2 linked regions of the Notamacropus eugenii genome follow. The protein of the gene in region 2 interacts with the protein of the main gene of each other region in a biochemical or structural test. Links are inferred from orthologs where the notes say so. Each region holds a gene or a part of one and is shown on either strand. Other genes may lie near its edges.

Region 1 (7,696 bases), on a different chromosome or scaffold from region 2:
TTTCACTTACATAGCACTTCACTTAATATTCACAAATCATTTTACATAACTATTGAATATTTGATTTGCTACAACCTAGCTAAAGGGTCATATACCAGTACAAGACACACATTAATTACAAAAGGATTTGGAACTGACTGATGGAATGGACACAAAGAATAGTAATAGGATCAATATACATCTAGAGATAAGTCTCTACTAAAGTAGTTCTCTCAGGAATCTCTCCATGATTCTGTCCCATCTGTTATTTTTATCAGACATGGGCAAAAACAATGTAGGCTTCTTATCAATCTTCAGATGACACAAATTTGGTACGCATAAATAACATACAGTATGACAATGTCACTACTCAAGAAAAAGTTGAAACACCAACGAAGAAACTTTCTTCAAAGAAGCAAGAAAAAATTTTATATGGAAAAACGTAAAATCTTACACTTAGGTTCAAATAATTAACTGCTTTAACAAAAATAAGGCATAGTTAAAGCAATAGTTTATGTGTAAAAACTTTTACTTTTCTGTGGACACTGTCAATTCATTCATTCAATAAAAATGTATTAAGCTCCTACTAAGTGCCAGGAATCATGGTAGGAGTTGGTGATACATAGGAAAAAAACTAAACAATCCATGCTCTCTAAGGGCTTACATTTTATGTGTCAAGAATGTGACTTGGCTGCCAAAAAAAAACAAAAAAATCTTAGATTCCATTAATATTAGCACAATGTCCTAAATAAAGCAAATTACATCTTGCTATATCTTGGTCTGATAAGAAGTATAACTGGAATACTGAAATCAGTATTCAATGTCACATTTTAAAGACATAACAGGGAAAGACATACCAACTGGTGAAAGGTCCAGAAACTTTGTCAGTTAAAAATGAAGACTTATGGAGCCATATTAATAGCTGCATGTCTTTCTCATGGAAGAGCATTCAGACTTGTTCAGTATGGCCCCAAAAGGAAAAAAACCAGGAGCAACACGAAGTTACAAAGAGAGATTTGGCTAGATGTAAGGGAAAACTTCTTAACATTTAAAGCTGAACAAGAGTAGAATAAGCTGCTTTAGAAGACAGTGAGTGCTTCAGGACCAGAGATCTTCCAAGAGAAAAAAAATACTTCACTATTATAGGATGCAGTCAAGTATGTTCAGGGACCAGAGGGACTAGACAACCTCTGAGCTCCTTTCTACATCTGAGATTCTGTGATTTAGATTTACATTTGCAGACTATTCTATGGTAAACATTCATAAGAATTTTACCTCAATCACCAAACATAAAATGAGCTACTGTATCTAAAGGAATTTCTAGTGTTTATGACAGTATAAAAGCATACTTCCTATGAAATCTTCCAGGCTTTTCAGAACAAAAATTAAAAACTTACTGCATAAAGAGTTGGTTTCATAAAGTACTTTCAGTTTATTCCACTGAATATCAACCACTGAAAAAATCAAGCACATACATATATCAGGGATTTCAGTGCACAATATTCACATCTAGTCAAATTTTTTTAAACAGACAAATGTTGAATCTAATATTTAATCAAACTTACTCTATTTTCTTGTAAAACCATTACCGCAAAAAGTACTTTATCATAAACCTTGAAGCACTACAAAACTGTAATCACAGTAATTACTTATAGTAACATAAAGCCTTCATTTATGTACAACTTAATACTAAAAATAATAACCTACAAAACACACAAATAAAGTCAGATCTCAAAAATTGGAGAAATATTAATTGCTCATGGGTAGACCAAGTGAATATGATAAAAATAGCAATCCTGCCTAAATTAATTTGCCATACCAATTAAAGTGCCATACCAATCAACCTACAAAAAAATTACTTTACAGAGATAAAAAAATGACAAAATTTATCTGGGAGAACAAAAGATTAAATATTATCAAGGGAATCAATGAAAAAATAAGTGAAGGTAGCCTAGCAGTAGCAGATCTCAAATTGGATTACAAAGTAGTAATCATTTAAAACATTCTGGTATTGGCTGAGAAATAGCATACATACCTTTTGACCCAGCAACAGCATTACTAGGTCTATATCCCATTGAGATTAAAAGAAAAAGAGGGGAGAAAGAACCTATAGGTACAAAAATATTTACAGCAGCTCTTTTTGTGGTGGCAAAGAACTGGAAATTGAAAAGGTGCCCATCGACTGGGGAATGGCTGAACAAGTTGTAATACATGATTGTGATGGAATACTATTATGCTCTCAGAAATGAGGAGCAGCACGGTTGTGAAAAACCTGAGACGTACATGAACTGATGAAAAGTAAAGTGAGAACCAAAAGAACATTGCACACAGTAACAGCAATATTATGCGATGATCCACTGTGAATGACTTAACTATTCTCAGCACCATAATGATCCTAGACAATCCACCTCCACAAAGAACCTATGGAATCTGAATGTAGATCAAAGCATCCTTTTTTTACTTTATTTTTCTTGGGTTTTTTGGTGTGATCTGTTTCACAACATAGCTAACATGGAAAAATGTTTTGCCTGCCTAACACACGTATAATCTATAAGAAATTACTTGCTTTCTCAAGGAATGGAAAAGGGAAGGAGAGAATTGAAAACTAAAATTAAAAAAAAAATGTTAAAAATTATTTTTACATGAAATGGGAAAAAATATAACGTTTTCCACCGAAAAAGATATCATAACCCATAATTCCCTGAGTACTTGCAGCTTCACAAAGTTCTTTCCTCCCAGTTTTACAGAGGAAGGCAACGTCCCAGAAAAGCGATTTACACAAGCCCCAACACTAGCAACGGGAGGTCTGGATCCCTGAGCAACAGTAACCTGGGAGGAAACGTGACACTCGGAGCCCGCCGGTGACTCGCACAGAGCGCAGACTTCACACCAACCCACGTCCTCCCCACGCCAGGACACTTGGCAGAGATCCCACCTACAGGTTATCTGAACCACAAACGGGAACCCCGGCTGTCCCGTCGGTGGGGACTCCGCTCCATTAGAAAGGTAGGGGAGGACTCTCACAAAGCGGACGAGCACCGCACAAGATACAATCGCGGGGTCCAGGGCGCAGGGCAGGGGCCGGGGGCCCCCCGACTCCGCCGTGGGACAGGACTTTCTCCTGACACCTGTCAGCGGGGGGGGGGGGTCTGAAGCCCCCCGCGGGGAGGGCCGGAGGGGGCTTCTCTCACCTCGGCGGCCGCCTGGGGGTCCTCGTCGATCTGCCCGTCCGACAGGGGCGGGAACAACCTGCCGGGGAGACAATCACGTCAGCGGCGGTGAGCGGAGTGGAGAGCACAGGAGAAGAGGGGGAAGGGGACCAGAACCACCCCCCGGGGCCGGGAGCCACTCACCCCGACGCCGTTGCGGGTCCCGCCGCCGCCATAATTCGCGCTGTCTCCGCCGCCGCCCAGGGGGGAAACTTCTGGAGAAACACCCTGCGAGCTTCCGTCCGGAGGAGCCGAGCTAGCGTGAGGGGAAGAGGGGAACGGAGGAGCAGGCGCGGGGACTGACGGGAAGCCGGAGGACTGGCCCCGCGGGAGCCCCGCCTCCCGCCGTGTTACCAAGGCAACCCCCGGGGCTACCCACGCGGCGGCCTCCTCCTCTCCCCGGCACCGCCCCGCCTCCCTCCTAGCTCCGCCCCCTCCGCTCCGCTACGGCAGCCTAGCTCTCTCCCCTCCCCCGCGATTTTCGGAAAGTCCCTCCTTTAACTGTGGTGAGTATACAAGTCTAGTAGGCCTCTCCCATAGATCAGAAGTCAAAGGCTATAAACCGTAGCCGGAATAAATCAACAGCCGTATGAAAAAAACATTCCAAATTATTACTCTTAGGAGGAGAGCTGAAGATTAAAACTTCCAAGTTTCGGCAGACGCGAGATGCAGGGAGGGGGAGGAGACAAAACAGCCACACTAATCCGTGATTGTGGCCGCTGTGGATTGGCGCAATCGGTAGTAACTTGAATTGATGCTTAAATAAGGGCGAAAGTACACACATCCTTTGATCCCGCTACGCCAGGAGGTCAGACAGGAAAAAGGCACCAAAATATCGGTAGCGATACTTTTCGTGCTGGCAAAAACAAAACAAAACAAAAAACCCTGTTAATATTGAGTTCCTGAAGAATGGGAAAGGCTGAAAAGCTGTGATGCCATTTTATTGTGCCTGTAAGAACTGATGGTATACTGTGAAGAGTGTGGGCGTGGAGTCAGGAAGACATAGGTCTGTATCCTACTTTGGGCAAGACAAGTTAATCAGTAGACATTTGAAACCTACTATGTGCCAAACTTTGTGCTCGTTGCCTACAAGGACCTTCCTTATATGTTCTCTGAGGAAATAGCACACAGCAGGAGCAAATGTAAAATATGCACAAATGAGTATTTTGGAGGAGTGGAGCAAGCAGACCCTTGCAGGAAAGTGACCAATACCAGTTGAGTGGCTACCGGGGTTCGGAAAAGGCCTTTTATGGACGGGGACTTAGCTAAGCCTTGAAGGGAAATAATTCTAAGAGACAGACGTGGAGAGGATGGAGGCGAGGCTTTGAGGACTGGGTGTGGAAATCACGGGGGTCCCAGCACCCCTAAAGCTCAACAGAAAGACCAAAGGGAAGGAGGGAACAAGCATTTATTTCGTAGTCGTTCTGTGACAAGCGCTTTACAAACATCTCATTTGATCCTCACAACAACCCTGGAAGGTAGGTGTTTTTATGACTCCTATTTAACAACTGAGGAAACTGACACAGACGCGGGTTTGCCGAGGGTCACGCTGCTGGCTCGTAAGGGGAGGGAGGGGCCCGTGAGGGGAGGGAGGGGCTCGTGAGGGAGGGAGGGAGGGGCTCGTGAGGGAGGGAGGGGCTCGCGAGGGGAGGGAGGGGCTCGCGAGGGGAGGGAGGGGCTCGGGAGGGAGGGAGGGGCTCGGGAGGGAGGGAGGGGCGGAGGGGGGAATAGAGACAGAGATACAAACGGTGGATGGGCAAGGAGGCAGAGAAATAGACAAGCCGGCAAACCCTTAGACAGAGAAGCAGGCTGACTGGCGGACACAAACACAAGCAGTCAAAGTAGCAGGCAGGAAGGCAGGTACCTGCACACATGCACACACGTGAAGTGCAGCCTTCAGCACAACGTGCTGTTATCAGAGGACACGCGCTACTTCCGGCCTCACAGCCGCCATCCTTACGTCATGGCGCATAGAACGCGCCAGGACGTCGTCTGGCGTGTCGCGTCACCATTCCACGATCTCGCGTTTTCCCGAGCAACAGGCCCGAGAACGACTGTACCTCCGGGACCTGGCGGAGTAGAGGGCGGTGGGAGTTTTGACTTCCGGGTATTAAGCACGAAGCTTCCGGTTTCCTCTGCGCCCTTTCCCTGCTAGTCTTCTCCGAGGTCCAGTTTCCGTTTCTTACCCCGGCTTTCTTCTGTCTCCGACTTTCCAGAGACGTCGGAGCAGCGATTGGCCGATGGCCGATCCTTCGCATTTTAATGGGGGCAAAGGAAACAAAAAAAAAGTAAAGCAGCAGGGGAGGGCGATCTGAATCTTGCTTGGGAGGCAGAGATCCTCGGGTCGAGGCCCGTTTCTGTTTCTTCCTTGGCTGGATTTTATCCCTAAATCGGGGGGACAGTTTTACGATCCCTTCCCGCTCCGAGTCGATCCTAAGATGGGCCGGTGTGCCTGGAGGGTGGCGAGAAGCGTGGGCTTGCGTGGTCTTTTCTCCCCATCCCCCACCGCGGGCACACACCCCGTTACTGGTGGCGTGGAGGTACAGGGGATCTCCAGAGTCCAAGTGAGAGTTTAATCTTTAATTGCCCAAAATGAACGAGGCCGTTTGGAGGGCGCCTTACGACGCGATTAAACTTGCCCAGAACTTTTGGGGACGTGGGGTGGAAACGACCGTCAGCCGCCTGCTGAGTTTCACGTGGAGCCTTAGCGATCACGTGAGCCCAGACTTCCCAAGGAATTGTCAACAGAAGTAAATGCACATTGTTTTCGGTTGGGTCCGTTTCACTGTGTATTTGGGGTAAGGTGTGAATCCCAAGGGAGATTCCGCTCTCCTTAGCCCTGTTTGTCTCTCGGTCCTGTGCTCGCAGCACTAGTGCCCAGTTTTATTTCATTTTGGCTGCAAGGCAGGCCCGTAGGAGCAAAGAGTTATTCTTAAAAACCTTCATAATTGCTAGGTCTTTTTACCCCGCATGCTCAGGCTGCCTGTCAAAGCAGTCCATCTTTTAGTAAATCTAATGGTTCTTCTACTAATCCTTCAACGTGCCTGATGTTTATCGTAGTGTTAATCAGACAATTCTGAAATAAAACCAGTAACTAAACAAGAAAAAAAATACATTTTAACCTATGGATGCTCAAGAGTTGGAATCTGAGAGAGTGTCCAGTTGGGAAATGGCTAAAAAAAATTATGGATGTGATGGAATATTATTTTGCTGAAAGAAATAATGGAGATGAAGATGAGCAAGCAGACTGGCAAACAGATGGCCTTAAACAGCAGACTACTTACTGTTAGGTAAAAAGGTATTTTGCATCATTATAAAAGACACTTGTATTTCACTATCCAGAATCATTGATTTCAGTACCTATTGTAATCATTGTATGAGATATGTAATCCTTTTTATTTGGTATGTTAACAAGGTACTCTGCTTAATAACTTACTGGGTATAAATTTTATATTAGAAACATTCTCCAATGTAAATTAAAAACTATATATCCTGCCCTAAAAACAAACAAGAATACTTGAACTTTTCACATTATTTATTCAATAATAAACCAATTAAAATACAAAAGATTTAGGAATTTCAAAAATTTGTCTTTAAATACAAATTCACTCTGTAATAATATGAATACATAACATTAGGCCTCTAACCAATGATTTTTCATCTATAAAAATCTCTATACTAGGAAATAAATTTGCTGAAAACTTTATTTTTTTCTTGTGAAATTAAATGTACAATATTTACAGCTGAAAAAGTATTCTAAAACTACTCCATCAAAAGCCTGGATATGTATGCATTTATGTGTGTCAGCATGTGCACGTGTATGTATATACACATATATATGTATAAAATTCCCACCCCCCACCCCCCATTCCCATTACATAAAAATCAGGAACAGAAAAGTTTTTATAAGCTATTGACAAGTGAGCCAGATTGACCCAAAACTAAATTTTTTCAATAAAAATTAAGTAGGCACTTAGGAACGGTATCCCTGTTTATTCAGACCACTAGTATATATCATTTAGTAAACCATGGCCATCATTTACTAAATGCCACTCAGTAGTCTAAGGAGTTAAAGAAATCTCCAGGTAAAACATACATATTTGGCAAAAAATGCTGATCAAGAACTACTGTGACATTGGATTTTTTCCTCAGGCATAATTTATTTACAGTAACTTGACGTTTTAAATGGTGTAATAAAAATGTTTAGCATGAGACTATTGAAATCAGAATATTTAGAGCTAGAGTTCAACTTGAAAACATGTTAACAGATAATAGCAATTTTTTCGTCCTATGGGAGTGTGGAAATTACATCATTTGCCAACCGGCCACAGCTTTAAAGAACACCTAATTCCCCAGATGAAGAAATTGAAACAAAGAATGGTTAATTGATGTGCCCAAGGTCACACAGAGTTGAAGTCCAGACTAAAGCACTCTAGCGGAGCCCTGGAATGCCCCTGCAGGTACTACTTGCAAAGCAGCCCAGATTGAAGACTGAGTTTCTCTTTTTT
Region 2 (7,979 bases):
AAATATTTAATATTTTCTAACAGGACAAGATCCATTTACAGATGTTGTCTGCATACAGTATAGTAAGCTACGAAACCCAATACAAGCTTTAAGAGCTACCATATTATGTGAAAATTGCAATAGTTCTGTTTATAACCATATGAATGAGACTATTTACAGTTGTCAAAACAAAGATATAAAATTTGCTAAATACCTCTTCTCCTTTTGCAACCTTTCCTAAATTTTAAGGATTACCTAACTGATGAGCTGAATTCAGAATTGCATTATTTCAAACTTACAAAAAGTGTAATTGGATAGCCAATAAACTGCGAATGCTTCTTCACAATTTCCTTTATTCTTCGTTCCTCCAAGTACTCAGTTTGGTCCTCTTTCAAATGCAAAATTACCTTTGTTCCACGACCCATAGGTTCACCTAGAAGAGGAAAGGGAAAAAGTATATGTGGGAGACTCCTCTGATTTGTAATTTCATCTGAAATCTCTAACCTCAAACATAAATGGGAACTAAGAAACCAATTTAATAGAGAATACTAATGATTTTTTGAAAATCCTTTCCATACCTCTGAAACAATACCTCATAGTTCTATTCAACCAAGAAATTCATTCAACGTGATGCTCAGAATGCTTATTTATTGTAATTTTATCTTTGAAGATTAACTACAAATTTTCTAACAAATGTTTCCTTCTCATTTTATGTTTAAAATGACAAGCAGTAGTGCTGAACTTACAATAAAGAACTATACAGATCAAGGTAGTTCTTAAAGAATAATTATACTAATTTTGTTGAGCCTATATCCTATTCTTTCATGTTATAAAACTACCCTGGGTTTTATTTCTCAGGCTACCATTCATAGGAACTTGTGTATCTAGAACCAGAAGCAAATTCAAAAGCTACCTAGCTCAACCAAGGCCCTCATTTCACAGCTGAGAATAATGTGTAGTTACTGTGCCCCTGGTCAGTTTCAAACGGGGCTTTCCACTCCCTCCCTCTTCCACTGTACCAAAATACTTTCCCTCTCCCTCTCTGCATAGAAAATGCTTTAATTGTACAAAAGCGAGGTCTCACTATGCACATACCTACATCAGTCCTAACGGTGAACGACCCTCCTGCTGAAGACTCCCAGGCATACTGTTCATCATCGTTATGTTTGGTGATGACCGTCACCTTCTCAGCCACCAGATAGGCAGAATAAAAACCAACACCAAACTGACCAATCATGGAGATATCTGCACCAGCCTGTAATGCTTCCATAAAAGCTTTGGTTCCGGACTTTGCTATTGTACCAAGATTGTTGATTAAATCAGCTTTGGTCATTCCAATACCAGTATCTACAATGGTTAGGGTGCGATCATCTTTGTTTGGAATGATGCTGATGTTCAGCTCTTTCCCAGAGTCTAGTTTACTTGGATCTGTCAGACTCTCATACCTGATTTTGTCCAGGGCCTACACCAAGAAAAACACGTTTAAAAATTTTAATCATGAATTAAAACAGCTATACTGGAATTAAATTCAATTTCAGTAACACAAAGAAAAAACTTACATCAGATGAATTTGAAATCAGCTCTCTCAGAAAGATCTCTTTATTAGAGTAGAATGTATTAATGATTAAAGACATCAACTGAGCAATTTCTGCCTGAAAGGCAAAAGTCTCCACTTCCTCCTCCTCCATGGGTTGGTCCTGGGTCTGCGTTTCCTCAGGCATCTATGGAACATTGTTATCAGTTAGTCAAGCAATATCAATTAAAGATTTTTAAAATTTCAACCCGTTTTTACGTGAGGGTTCCTAACAGATTTAATGGATCTAAAATTAGGGCTACGGTAGAAAAAAAATGAGACTAATTCACTTGGAATCACGTCATTATGTGAGTTAATTCATGCTTCAAGGGGAACACTTTAAAAACCGGGGCCACCGACTGATTCAATTGCTTCTCATCCTTTAATTATTGAAGAGACTACCACCACCTCCGTAGCCGGATTAACGCCACCAGGCTCAGCTCATTAAGAGGATAAGCCGTCCTCTACAAAGGCAGAGGACTGAGGCACAAAGCTGAACTCTGAAACGATGCTCAAAAATTCACTCCTATTCAATCCCAACACGAGTAACGTTTAAAGCATTGGTAATTAGACGCTGGGGATAGCGAGGAAAAGGTAAAAACTAAGTTTCCCATTTCACAGAGCTTACAACATACGGGGCTTAGAATCGAAAAAGAAAACGTTTAAAAAAAAATCGACGAAAGAGGCCCACAGCACGCCTCCTACGAAGCTCTTCTTAGCCTCGCCAAGCCCCTCTCCTTACGCATCGCCCAAGGAGATCGGTGGGCAAAACGGGCAGTGCACAAAGTCTCAAATCCCCCACTCGCTTACGAAGATTTGAGTTTGGGGGTACCCCCAGCCCCCCCCACCCTCGGGCTCCGACGCAGGTGCCCCGCCCGCCGGGCAGAGCAGCCCCGGGGGCAGGCGGGGGCGCCGGCGCGCCACGGGCTCCTCACCCCCCCACGCCAGGCACCCTCCTCGGAATGGGGGGGGCCGAACCCCCATCATTATTTCCCCTCTCCCAGTCCCGGGTTTTTTAGGGGCGCTCGCCTCGTCCACTTCTCGGGAAGGGTGGGTAAAAGCGGCGGGGGAACGAAAATTGGGGGGGCGCCTCAAGACCTGGCCCCAGGGCCCTTCGGGCAAGGAGGGAGCCAGGGAGGAGCCTCCCCCCCACCCTCGGGGGCGCCGAAGCCGGGGCAGCTTCCCGCCTCCTCCCGGTCCCCCGAGCCGCGGCTGCGGGAAGGGCAGGTGAGCCCACGCCCAGGTCCACGCTGCGGGAGCCGCGGCCCGCCGGGGTGGGGGGGGGGGGGGGGTAACCTTACCTTGGCAGAGAGAGCAGGAGCCCCAAGGCTTCAGCCGGCAGCGAGACGGGAGAGCAGCAAACTGGCGCGCGGCCGCCCCCGCCCGCCCCTTATATAGAGTCGGGCACTCCCCGCCTCAGCAGCGCCTTTTCCAGAAGCCTCCGGAACCTTCCGGAAGAGGGTTCTCGAGCCCTCCCCAACCGCCGCGGCCCTCGCGCGTGCGCACAGGCTCGCGGCCCCCGCCCCGCGGCGAGGCTCCTCCTCCCGCCCCCGCCCAGGCCCTGCTTTCTTTCTCTCTGCTCCTCTCTCTCTACCCCTCCCGCTTCCTTTCCCTCTTCGCTCTCCTCCCCCACTGCGGGCTACGGAGGAGGCGGTGGAGAAGGGAAGCTGGGCTGGGGAGGGGGGTGCGGGTTTAGCGTGCTTCCATCTCCCCTCTCCTCCCCCCCCACTCCTCTGCGGCCCACTCACCCAACCCCCAACCGATTGCGCGCGGACACAGCTGCCAAGCGCGGGGGGCGGGGGGAGGGGGCCAGGGGCGCGTGCGCACAACGGCCTGCCCGGGCTGCTGCTGCCTGCGTCGGGGCCCGCGCCGGGCTCCTGCGCTGTTGCCATGGCCTCCCCGCTAATCGTCTTGCCTTCTTCGCCACCGACCGCCCCCACCCCGCCGTCGGAGCAGTCTTGCTCTTACGCAGCAAGATTTGTCCCGCTTCTGCTCACGCGTCTTTCTTTCATAGGGTTAGACCTGCGAGTGTTCCTCCCCTCCCCCCTTTTTACAGACGAGGAAACTGAGGCCCAGAAAAGGCACGCACTCGCCCCAAGCCCTCAGTCTGGGTGCTCCGCGGCATCGTCTTCTAACTACCTGACTAGGATCCCTCGGTCAGCTTCGGCCCTGCTCCTCCCCCTCCTCCCCCTCCTCCCCCTCCTCCCCCTCCTCCTTCTCCTCCTCCTCCTGCCCCCGGCCTTGTAAACACGGGCGTTGCACCAGGCCGAGTCTCCACACTCCGGGAGATCTGACCCACTCCCCCGTCTCCAGTTACCGCCTCCGTGCAGCGGCCCTCCCCAGCGGCCCCCAGACTCCACTGCCAGCGGATGAATGTTTCCACTTGGATGCCCAGCTGGCATCTAAGACAACACGTCTAAAAAATTTAATACAAAATCCTTCATTTTTAAAAAATATTATTTATTTTGACATTCTTTTGAGCTCCAGATTCTCTCCCTCCTCTACCCCCTGAATAAGCAAACAATATTGGTGAGAAATCACGCAAACCATTTCTGCATTAGCCATGCCCCACTAAAATAAGGGGAGAGGAGGGTGCTTCAGTTGGCACGGCGTCCGTCCGTTCTCTCCGGAGACGGGTGGCATGTTCTCACCGGGAGTCCTTCGGCATGGCCTCGGGGGTTGGATCGATGGGATCAGAACATCGCTGCCACGGTGCCATCCTCCCCCAGTGCTCACTCATCCCCCTCCTCATTTCCCGCAGCCCCGCAGTGCTCCATCACAATCCGGTGCCACCACTTGTTCAGCCTTTCCTGCCTGACGACCCCCCCCAAAAAGAGCTGCTGTGCAGACAGGGCTTTTTCCCTTCTCTGTGATCTTTTTGGGATACAGACCTAGCACCGGATCAGAGGATGCCCAGTTTTGTAGCTCCCTGGGCACAGCTCCAGATGGTTGGACCAGTTCAGCACTCCACCAGCAGCTCCTTCATGTGCCTATTTTCCCTCATCTCCCACATCACTTGTCCTTTCCGAGAGATAGGGAGTGCTACCCCAGAGTTGTTCTATTTCGCATTTCCCTGATCAATAGCGGTTCAGAACATTTTTTATAAGACTATAGATAGCTTTGATTTCTTCTTATGAAAATTGATCAATTGGGGGATGGCTCTTATTTTATACATTTGATTCCCTTCTCTATATGTCTGGGAAATGAGAGCTTTATCAAAGAAACTTGCTGTCATTTTTTTACATCCTTGTTTATAGTACCTTTTAGGAAAATGGAGTTTCCCAGATTTCTTCTCTTAATTAGGTCTATTTGGCTTTTGCTTTGAGATCATGATTGCTACCCCACCTCATTTATTTCGGCTAAAGCATAAGAGATTCCCTTCCAGCCCTTTATTTTAACTTTGTGTTGCCTTTACATTTCAAATCTCTCATAAACCGGACAAATGGTTGGATTCTGTTTTCTGATCCATTATGGGTTAGCTCATCCCATTCCCATTCACAGTTACAAGTGCTATGTATCTCTTCCATCGTGTTTTCTTCCATTTATCCTTATCTTTCTATCTTGTCCCTCCTCAAAAGTCTGTTTTGCCTCCCTTTTATCATCTCCCTCTCCTATATCTTTTATCCCCTTTTCCTCTTATTTCTCTATTGAATAAGTTACATTTATATACAACTGTATATATATTCTTCCTTCTTTGAACCAACTCTGACAAGAGAGGTTCAGCCATTGCACCCCCCTTCTCTCTCCCCTATAAAAGCTCTTACTTTTGCCTGTTTTATGTGAGAAATTTTTCTCTATTCTACTTTTCTCCTCCCCCTTCTCTCAGTACATCCCTCTTTCTCACCCCTCCTTTTTTTTTAAAAATTATCCTAGCATAAGACTCACAGCCGTGCCGTCTGTTCCAGCCTCTTTCCTCCCTGATATTCCCATACTTCCACATTAGGCTGTGGCCCAACCAGCATAGTTGCTGACATTATTTTCCACTGTCTCCTTCGCTACAGTCTCTAGGGAGGAGGTAACCTTTCTGCCTCCAAAGGCTAATTCCATACATGTACCCCTGATTCAGGAGAATGCTGAAGCCACTTGTTAAATTTTCAGTGAGGCAGTTAAACCTTAGAAATCAGCAAACATTGCACTCAGGCCTTGGCTTATTGTTTTGTTGATTATTTAGACTTAAGAAAGTGATGGAGAAAATTATAAAAAAGCAGATTAAAATTACAGCTTGTATTTTCAGAAAGCTTGGTTGTTAAACATTTGCTAGCACATCAGTAACTCCCTATCACTTTCAGGATGAAATATAAAATCCTGTCTGGCATTGAAAATACTTCATAATGTCCCCTGACCTTTCCAACCTCCTTACCTCTTACCCTTCCACCCCTTCTTCTCCTCCACTATGTACTCTGTAACACTGGCCTTCTTACTGTTCCTTGAACAAAACGTTCTATCCCTGGACTCTGGCCATTTTCACTGACTGTCCTCCTTGCCTGGAATGTCCTTCCTTCCTCACATCTGCCTCTTGTCTCCCTTGGCTTCCTTTAAGTCTCAGCTGAAATCCCAAAAGGATTCTATAGGCATCTTTCCCACTCCCTCTTAATTCTTTCCTCTCTTTAGTGTTGTTTTTAATTGTTCAGGTATGTCTAACTCTTCATGATCCCATGGACCCTACTTTCTGTGGGGTTTTCTTGGTAAAGATATTGGTGTGGTTTGTCTTTTCCTTGAGTGACTAGCCCTGGGTCACACAGCTAGTGATGCCTAAAGCCAAATTTGAAATCAGGTCTTCTGGACCCCAGACCCCTGCATTTCATCCACTGAGCCATCTAGCTGCTAGTTGATTATTCCTATTAATCCAGTATATACCTTGTTTGTAAGTAATTGTTTGTCTCTCCCATTAGACAAACTCATGTACCTCTAGGGTGGGATCGTCTTTTGCTTTTATGAATTTGCCTGTCTGAGTTTTCATGATTCTAGTCTTACTAGCTACATCTACCAGTCAGACTACTTCTCTTTGGTTGGATCTTCATTCAGGTCACACCCACTGACTATGGGTTTTCCCCCAGGGTCTGTCTTGGCCTCCTTTCTCTTTATAATCTCTCACTAGGTGATCTCTTCAGCTCTCATTAGTTCAATTACCATCCTTTTGCAAATGATTTCTAGATCTGTTTATCTGGCCCTAGTCTCTCCAGTCCCACATCCCCAACTGCTCATTGGACATTTTGAACTGGATGTCCCATAGGCATCTTAAGTTCAGTATATCCTAAGCAGAACTTATTATCACCCTATCTGCACCTTTCTTCTGAATTTATTGTATTTTTTAAGAGTCACCTAGGTTTGAAAACTCATTGCCATCTTTTTCCTACTCCACACATTCAACAAGTTGCCAAATTTTGTCATTTCATTCTCTACAATATCTTTCATTCCTTTTCTCCATTTGCATAACCACTACACTACTTTAGGACCTTTCAATTGTACCACTGCAGTATTAATTTAACTGATCTTCCTGCCTTGTCTCGCCCTTCAATCCATCCTCCCCACTACCCCCAAAATGATTTTCGCAAAGCAGAGATCAGATCAGATCACTTTTCTGTCCTAAACAAGCACTAGCAGCTCCCAGTTATCTCTAGAATAAAATATAAAGCCCTCTGTTTAGAATTTAAAGTTCTTTACAACTTGGCCCTTTCCAGTTTTATTACATTCCAGTCTGCTTCATGTTCTGTATTTTACCACATCATTGTTGCAGATTTTATGCCAAATATTTTTGCAAAAAAAGTGGGGTGTGACCATTATGTGAAGCTTTAAAAAATTTGTGCTGGTATTACTTAAAAATCATTTATTATTAAACTGTTTTTGGTGCAAGATTAAACCCATAATCAGAAAGAAATGCTTCACACATTAATATATCGTTGGCAGATGAACTATACAGTTTAGCTATCATGTGACTTACTCATGGCAGTTTTGCCTGACCAACCACTCCCCTTTCACGTAGGGCTCTTCATTGGGTTGAGTGACTATACCCTTAGTGCTACAGTGTTCTAAACAAACAGCAAAAATAGACTTTCTGAAATATACTGACAATGCACGTGCACTGAGAATTCTAGGCTTGTGGCTCCCAATGTGCAAGAGATAAATAAATATCCATATGCCACAGGTGAATACATTTCTGCTCTGTTTACCTTTTAAGCATCTTGACAAACAGAATTATACCATGTGATGATTACATGATGAAAGCTTATAAACCAGTTTTTGGACTGAAAACAAACGAAAAACCAACGATTATGGGGTAAAATAAGGTATTCTACTGTTTAGCCAAACTGGCCAACTTTCTTTTCCTTGGAAAAGAAAACTCTGTCTACTGTCACCATGCCTTTGTATTAACTATTCTCCATGCCTGGAATGCTGTTCCTTCCAAACTTCTGCCTCTTAGAATCCC

What was found.
Region 1: the proteins of HSP90AA1 (region 2) and SUGT1 form a complex in vitro, tested with the Homo sapiens proteins (4 studies listed by BioGRID, with this or other methods). The link is inferred for Notamacropus eugenii from reciprocal best matches to the Homo sapiens genes HSP90AA1 and SUGT1.

The regions. Positions count from the first base shown.
Region 1 is NC_092877.1:291,034,639-291,042,334, forward strand, and holds the start of SUGT1 (protein SGT1 homolog), read right to left. Parts: upstream 3,618-7,696; 5' UTR 3,365-3,617; coding exon 3,333-3,364; intron 3,229-3,332; coding exon 3,171-3,228; intron 2,101-3,170; exon of another isoform or gene 2,036-2,100; coding exon of another isoform or gene 2,015-2,035; intron 1,434-2,014; exon of another isoform or gene 1,398-1,433; coding exon of another isoform or gene 1,377-1,397; intron 1-1,376. UniProt on the Homo sapiens protein: May play a role in ubiquitination and subsequent proteasomal degradation of target proteins.
Region 2 is NC_092872.1:351,894,423-351,902,401, reverse strand, and holds the start of HSP90AA1 (heat shock protein HSP 90-alpha), read right to left. Parts: upstream 3,364-7,979; 5' UTR 2,854-3,363; intron 1,701-2,853; coding exon 1,539-1,700; intron 1,442-1,538; coding exon 1,075-1,441; intron 413-1,074; coding exon 279-412; intron 1-278. UniProt on the Homo sapiens protein: Molecular chaperone that promotes the maturation, structural maintenance and proper regulation of specific target proteins involved for instance in cell cycle control and signal transduction.